Macaca mulatta: one gene and its partner. The protein of the gene in region 1 interacts with the protein of each later gene in a pairwise test. Links are inferred from orthologs where the notes say so. Each region holds a gene or a part of one and is shown on either strand. Other genes may lie near its edges.

Region 1 (4,450 bases):
GGCAGGAGAATCGCTTGAACCCGGTGGGTGGAGGTTGCAGTGAGCCAAGATCTTGCCACTGCACTCCAGCCTGGGTGACAGAACGAGACTCCGTCTGAAAAAACAAAAAGAAAACAATAACCACCCCCGCCACACACACACACACACACACACACGCCAAAATGCTGGTTGAGGATTCTAAATGGCTCAACTTGGCCAGCTATCCCTGAACTGCCTATGGTGTGCATGTTCCTATAACGCACCTCCCAGGGAAACCAGAGGGGCTGTTTCCACGTAAAAGGAGGAATTTCACCACAGACATAATACTTTGGAATAGTTTTGACTATCCTTAAGTAAAACACGGGATGACAATTTCTCTAATTTCCACACTAGTAGTTTAAACAAAGTAGTCATCAGACCACAGAGGAGGGGCAATAAATACTGCCTGCGAGGTAACTCGGAGAAATACTTTCACAGAGGCCTCTTGAGGTGAGCATTTAGCACTGTGTGATGTGTGTCAAACCAAGAGGGGATTCAGGGAGACTTCCAGGCTTGAGCAAACGGACAAATAAACCTCCTCTTCCAGACCTCTCCTTACATATGAAAAAAATTCGTTTGAGACCACCAGAAAACAAAGGATAAAAGTATCGTGTTAGAACAAGGACGGATTAAAAATGATCTTTGCTGAATTGAAACAAGCTATGTGCGTAAGTGACTTAACCCCTCTATAACTTGGCTTTCTTGTCATTTACACGAGGGTGCTAACAGTACCCTCACAAGGCTCAAGTGATGATTACACAGGGCAATCCCTTAGTCAATGTCTTGGTACACTGTAAACGCTCAGAAAATGCTGGAAAATCACATTAGCAATTAGTTTATACCCATAATTGTAGCTAGAAGGTTGTATTGGATGCTAAACCCCGGCTAGATTCCATTCGGTAACTATTATAATTATTTATTTGCATAAGTAACAAGCAAATTGTTGGTGCAAACCAGCCATTATTACTGTAAAATACTTTAAAATGCTCCTTTCGATAGTCCAGTTACGTACTGTGGCACAAAACCAGGAGAAACCAGGAAATGGAAATAACGAGTGAGTTTTGATGCTTCGATTCTGTCCTAGATAGAGATAGGTGAGAATGGAGGCAAAAGAAGACATGTTCTTCCAAACAAGAGGTAACCAAACGGGCAAGGGAGACCTCCCCCCGGGCATGCAGAGCGCACAGATTCTGCGCTCAGGGAGCCGGAGGGCTTGGGGCTGGGAGACCCCGGCGGAGCCGCGGCAGAGTAGTCGCCCATGAGCCCCCGCGACTCAGACGCGCTCGGCTTCGCGCTCCGTGGCTGGGACCACCGAGGGCGAGCTGCAGCCTTCGCTACCCAGTCCGCTGCCGGACCCCGCTTCCGACAAGCAGCCCGGCCAGGCCCTTTTCCGCCGCTCTGTCACCCAGCCGAGGATCCTTCCCAGTTTCCCCGGCGGCGGCGCCGTGACGTCACTTCCGGTCTCAAGGGCGCACGTGGGAGGAAGTGCTGGTGCCCTCAGCCGCCGCTCCCGTCTCTTTGGTTACGCTCGTCAGCCGGGCAGCCGCCGCCTCCAGCCGTGTGCAGCTATGGGAGTCCCGGCGTTCTTCCGCTGGCTCAGCCGCAAGTACCCGTCCATCATAGTCAACTGCGTGGAAGAGAAGGTGAGGAGGCTCCAGGCGGCCGCCACACTCGAGCCGGGGGTCCTGGCATGTCTAGGCCGCGGCCCTCGGGCTCCGCCGCCTGCCCCCGGGGAGCCTTGCCGGAGCTCGCGCCCTGCTGCCAGCCTCGCGAGCAGTCGCAGCCCCACACGCGGTGGGACGCGGGCTGTGGGATTCAGGACCCCGGGGGCTAGGGATTCGGGACCCTCGGCTGGGCAAGGGCCTATCTGGTTCTGAACTCGGAGGGCCGCTCCTCCCCTACCCGCTTTTTCCCGGCACCGGAAGGCCCCGCCCACTGCTTTGTTTCCTCTCGAGACCGCGCGTTTTGGGTCTCGGAAGAGGTTCAGAGGCTGTTGAGCAATGCATGCCAGGTCGGCTGAGCTAGCGGGTTACGGATGCACGGATTCGGAGGCCTGCTTTTTGACAACCTTTTAAAGGAATCCCTGGCGGCGAGCTTTTCGTTGTTTATCAGTCGTGCCTGAAAGGTTTTCTCCTAGTGTTCAGGACCATTTGTTGTTCTGGTTAGATTGGGCGCTGAAAGCAGTATGTCAGGTCCAGGACGAACGCTATAGAATTCTGAGAAGTTACCCTTCTCTGTGTGCCCCGACTACTGGACAGGGTGGGTGCTTGTTGAAAATTTCAAGATTGCTGGATATACTCGAGCAGTACAATTTTTGTTGTTAATATGTAAGTAGATTTTTGGCCATTATTGAGTTTTGTTTTTATTGTTTTCATCATTCCGTGCGAGTTCGATTTTGTACACTTAATTAGAATTTCTGGATTGGAAATGTTCGGAGGCACATCATGCGTACCTCACTCCTTGGTTTTTGAAGGCAGTGCTTGCCTGTCAGTGTGAACTTATTTCTGCTTTTTTTTTTTTTTTAAACTTTCTTGGCTTCTATCCAAGGAGGAACCAAAAGCCTTGTTTTAGTGACATTCCCACTATTTCTTGTTTTTTTTTTTTTTTCAAAAAGCAACTGCTAAATTGAATGCTTGCTTCCTTTGTAAAATTTTAATCGAACTTTATTGAACTTTTACGTGGGTTAAACAAAAAGCAACAGTTCTTGCTCTACCCCTTCTCATCCCATTTCTCCACTTTTAACTGTTTTGGTTCTGTCTCTAAGTATACTTATACTTTATCGCTTTTAGATCTGTTGAATTCTAGCTGGATAGGAGAGGATTTAGTCACTTATTCAGCCTCCCTCTATACTCTTAATGGAGTAAATCACTATATATATTTCATTGGTAAGCTTTATAACTAAGTAATTTGCCTTTTTCATTCCATCACCTGTGTAAAGTATCCCTTGACTTAATGCTTTCTAAGGTCGATCTTAGCTTTTCTTCCCTTTCACCTCAAGTTTGTCAGCTGTACTTTGCGCTGTGAGCATCCAAAATTAAATGATCAGGGCTTTGACTATACAGATTTAAAAAGCTGAAAAATCAAATCGGATATTTGAGCATTGACACTGTGTGGATTCAAGTTATGTACTGCGATTTTGTTTTTTGTGCTGCTTTTGTCTTTTTCCCTGGGGATGCCTTTTTTTTTTTCCACTTTACATCTTTCTGCACCCAAACTCTATTTTACCAGGTAGTCTATCAAGAGTCTTTCTTCTTGAAGAGTCCTCCTTGGGGTCTTCTTTATTTTTGTTGCTGTCATACCTGGCTATTCTGTAGGCTTGCTGGAAAGCTGCATCTGGGATTTTATTATTATTATTGCTGTCATATCTTTCTTCAGTGGGAGGTACTGTTTTCTGGATCAGCATCTTTCTTCATTTGTTTTAGAAACGGAGTCTTCTTCTGTCTCTTAGGCTGGAGTACAGTGGCGTGATAGTGGCTCACTGCAACCTCCGGCCTCCTGGGTTCAAGCCATTCTCATGCCTCAGCCTCTGGAGCAGCTAGGACTACAGGTGTGCGCCACCACGCCCAGCTAAATTTTTTTTTTTTTTTTTTTTTTTTAGTAGAGACAGGGTTTTGTCATGTTGGTCCTGCTTGTCTTGAACTCCTGATCTCAGGTGATCCGCCTGCCTCAGCCTCCCACATTGCTGAGATTACAGGCATGAGCCAACACACCTGGCTTTTTTTTTTTTTTTTTTTTTGTATTTTTAGTAGAGACGGGGTTTGCCATGTTGGCTATGCTGTTCTCTGTCGTGACGTCACATGATCCGCCTGCCTGGGCCCCCCTTGTGCTGGGATTACAGGCGTGAGCTATGGCACCTGGCCCGTCTTTCTTCCTTTAAATCTTTTCTTAGTTTTTATTCTTAATTCTTAAGAAATGCTGTGTGGGATGTGAGATTTCCGAGTCATTGTAGGCCCCAAAATAGCTCCATTCTACCCTTATACACGTGAGTGATCATTAGCTAGGCATGGATTTCGAGGTTTTTTTTTTTTTCTTTGAGACAGCGTCTAGCTCTGTCACCCAGGCTGGAGTGCAGTGGTGTGATCTTGGCTCACTGCAACCTCCACCTCCCGGGTTCAAGCCGTTCTCCTGCCTTAGTAGAGATGGGATTTCACCATGTTGGGCAGGCTGATCTTGAACTCCTGACCTCAGGTGATCCACCAGCCTCTGCCTCCCAAAGTGCTGGGATTACAGGCATGAGCCATTGCACCTGGCCAGGAATTCGAGTTTTAGTATTAGGTTCCCTGAAAACTTTGAAAGAAATTGTTCTTTTGTACTCTCTCATCTAGTGGTGTTGATGACAAGTTCGGTGTTAATGTGATATATTTATTTAACCAGCAGTTATATAGCATTTACCGTTGTCTTAAGAACTTTATTAACTTGTTTGATCCTTACA
Region 2 (3,650 bases), on another chromosome or scaffold:
AGCCTGGCCAACGTGGTGAAACCCCGTCTCTACTAAAAATACAAAACTTAGACAGGCGCGGTGGTTTGCATCTGTAGTCTTAGTTACTGGGGAGGTTGAGGCAGGAGAATTGCTTGAACCCAGGAGGTGGAGGTTGCAGTAAGCTGAGATGGTGCCACTGCTCTCCAGCCTGGGCAGCAGAGCGGGACACCGTCTCAAAAAAAAGAAAAAGGGCCGGGTGCGGTGGCTCAAGCCTGTAATCCCAGCACTTTGGGAGGCCGAGACGGGTGGATCACGAGGTCAGGAGATCAAGACCATCCTGGCTAACGCGGTGAAACCCCGTCTCTACTAAAAATACAAAAAACTAGCCGGGCGAGGTGGCGGGCGCCTGTAGTCCCAGCTACTCGGGAGGCTGAGGCAGGAGAATGGCGTAAACCCGGGAGGCGGAGCTTGCAGTGAGCTGAGATCCGGCCACTGCACTCCAGCCTGGGCGACAGAGCGAGACTCCGTCTCAAAAAAAAAAAAGAAAAGAAAAAAATGTCATTTAATTTATCTCTCCAGGCCAGACACAGTGGCTCACACCTGTAATCCCAGCTACTCAGGAGACTGAGGCAGGAGAATCACTTAATCACTTGAACCCAGGAGGCAGAGGTTGCAGTGAGGGGAGATTACATCACTGCACTCCAGCCTGGGTGACAGAATGAGAATCCGTCTCAAAAAAAAAAAAAATTATCTCCCTTTCTCTTCTAAATAACCTAAGGTTAAGGTTGTGTAGGAGTTTTTTGTTGTTGTTGTTTGTTTTTTGAGATGGAGTCTTGCTCTGTCACCCAGGCTGGAGTGCAGTGGCGCGATCTTGGCTCACTGCAACCTCCACCTCTGGGGTTCAAGTAGTTCTCTGCCTCAGCCTCCTGAGTAGCTGGGATTACAGGCGCCTGCCACCACGACCGGCTAATTTTTGTATTTTTATCTATTTATTTATTTTATTTTATTTTGAGACAAAGTCTCGCCCAGGCTGGAGTGCAGTGGCACAGTCTTGGCTCACTGCAACCTCTGCCTCTTGGGTTCAGGCAATTCTCCTGCCTCAGCCTCCCAAGTAACTGGGATTACAGGCGCCTGCCACCGAGCCCGGCTAATTTTTTTGTGTGTTTTTAGCATAGATGGAGTTTCACCATCTTAGCCAGGCTGGTCTTGAACTCTTGACCTTGTGATCCACCTGCCTCAGCCTCCCAAAGTGCTGGGATTACAGGTGTGAGCCACCATGCCCAGCTGGTTATGTTTTTTTAAGTAAGCCAAACTTTTGGTTTCTTTTTCTTTTTTGAAATTAGAGATGGGGGCTCTTGCTCTGTTGCCTAGGCATATTGTAGTGGCTGTTCATAGACACCCTGCAGCCTCAAACTCCTGGACTCTAAGGCAGGAGTTTGTTGGAACTTCCTTCCTCAGCCTCCTGAGTTGTTGGAACTTACAGGCATATACACCACTGTGCCTGGTTTTCCATTTTATTGCAAAAGCTGTGTATTGTCGAATGTTTAGGAAAGATAAAAGTGAAATCTACATCAGGAGATACAAGTTGCTGATACTTAAAGTCAAAGTGAAGTAGAATTATTTTTGTTTTGATAAACCTTTTGAGAGAGATTGTAATCTGGAAGTACTACAAAAAACAAAATTGGAAATCACTGAATTTGCACCAGAAAAGCACCTCAGACACTAAACTTAAGCCTTTATTCTGTCCTCTAGAGCAAAAATCACTTCTTGCAAGTTTTCAGTGTCTTACTCTTCTTAGAGTCTTCTTTTTGCTTCTCATTTCTGGATGTAGGAGGTAGTGTTTTTAAAGAAGTGCTAAGTCTAAAAGGTTTCTGCTCATTTTATTTAGATAACAAAAGAAAAATGGATGAGACAGATGCTTCATCAGCAGTGAAAGTGAAAAGAGCAGTCCAGAAAACATCCGATTTAATAGTGTTGGGTCTCCCATGGAAAACAACTGAACAGGACCTGAAAGAGTATTTTAGTACCTTTGGAGAAGTTCTTATGGTGCAGGTAAACTTCGATTGCATCAAACAGTTTTTCTTTACAGTGAATGAGCATCTGGCATTTATTTATTGGTATACATAGAGATGGGGTCTCACTATGTTGCCTATGCTCTGGTGTTGAACTCCTGGGCTCAAACTGTCCTCCCACCTCAACCCCAGTGTGCTGAGCCATGATGCCTTAGCCACATTCTTGTTACTTTTTTTTTTTTTTTGGAGACCAAGTCTCACTTTGCTGTCCAGGCTGGAGTGCAGTGGCACTATCTTGGCTCACTGCAAACCTCCACCTCCTGGGTTTAAGCGATTTCTCCTGTCTTTAAGCGATTTCTCCTGTCTTAGCCTCCTGTATCTGGGATTACAGGCGCACATTATCACGCCTGGCTAATTTTGTATTTTTTAGTAGAGACAGGGTTTCACCAGTTGGCCAGGCTGTTCTTGAACTCCTGACCTCAGGTGATCCACCTGCCTTGGCCTCCCAGTGCTGGGATTACAGGTGTGAGCCACCGTGCCCGGCCATATTCTTGTTATTTTAATGGCACTGTACTTCCTGTTACACAAATGATACTTCCAATATTTGTTATATTTACACACATATCTTGTACTCTATATTATTACCTTCAATATTGTAAAATCCTGCTGTTGCGTGAAGGCTTAAGGGAATTAGGTGATAATAGCTTTTTATCTTTGAATTCATTCTAAGACATTCTGTTAAAATCCTGTTGTGGTGGCTCATGCCTGTAATCCCAGCATTTTGGTAGGCTGAGGTAGGAGGATTGCTTGAGGCCAGGAGTTCAAGACCACCTTAGCCAACATAATCCAGACTCAGGATTGCTTGAGGCCAGGAGTTCAAGACCACCTTAGCCAACATAATCCAGACTCAGTTTCTCTTTTTTTCTTTTTGGAGACAGGGTCTGGCTCTGTCAGCCAGGCTCTAGAGTGCAGTGGTGCAATTTAGGCTTGCTGCAACCTCTGCCTCCTGGATTCAAGCTATTCTTGTGCTTCAGCCTGCCAAGTAGCTGGGACTACAGACGCATGCCACTATACCTGGCTAATTTTTGTATTTTTTGTAGAGATAGGGTTTCACTGTGTTGCCCAGGCTGGACTTTAACTCCTGTGCTCAAGTTATCCAGCCTCCGAAAGCGCTGGGAATACAGGTGTGAGCCACCACGCCTGGCCCCATCTCTCTTTTTTTTAAGAACTCAAAAACATTTCTGTTGTATAAGTGAGTTTTGCTCTATTGTTAACACGGTATGGATTCAATATTAACCTCCTTGTTTTTACTCTGAAGACTAACTTGGTTTAAGTTTTAAACAACTGCATCCAGTTAAAACCATTCAAATTGTTTTTTAAGGAACTATGATTTGGGCGTGGAATGTGTATGTGTACTGTTAGAGTAAACTTAAATCATCCTTTCTAGGTCAAGAAAGATCTTAAGACTGGTCATTCAAAGGGGTTTGGCTTTGTTCGTTTTACGGAATATGAAACACAGGTGAAAGTAATGTCACAGCGACATATGATAGATGGACGATGGTGTGACTGTAAACTTCCTAATTCTAAGGTACTTGGGTCTGTGCTTTGGGATTTTTTGCTGACAAACTTCCTTAGAAGATTGTAAGATAAAATGTAAACACACTTAGAAAAGATAGT

What was found.
Region 2: the proteins of XRN2 (region 1) and TARDBP interact in binary tests that used the Homo sapiens proteins (3 or more experiments, as listed by UniProt). The link is inferred for Macaca mulatta from reciprocal best matches to the Homo sapiens genes XRN2 and TARDBP.

Annotation. Positions count from the first base shown.
Region 1 is NC_133415.1:62,749,444-62,753,893, reverse strand, and holds the start of XRN2 (5'-3' exoribonuclease 2), read left to right. Parts: upstream 1-1,586; coding exon 1,587-1,661; exon of another isoform or gene 1,662-2,345; intron 2,346-4,450. UniProt on the Homo sapiens protein: Possesses 5'->3' exoribonuclease activity. May promote the termination of transcription by RNA polymerase II.
Region 2 is NC_133406.1:229,708,394-229,712,043, reverse strand, and holds part of TARDBP (TAR DNA-binding protein 43), read left to right. Parts: intron 1-1,849; coding exon 1,850-2,013; intron 2,014-3,420; coding exon 3,421-3,561; intron 3,562-3,650. UniProt on the Homo sapiens protein: RNA-binding protein that is involved in various steps of RNA biogenesis and processing.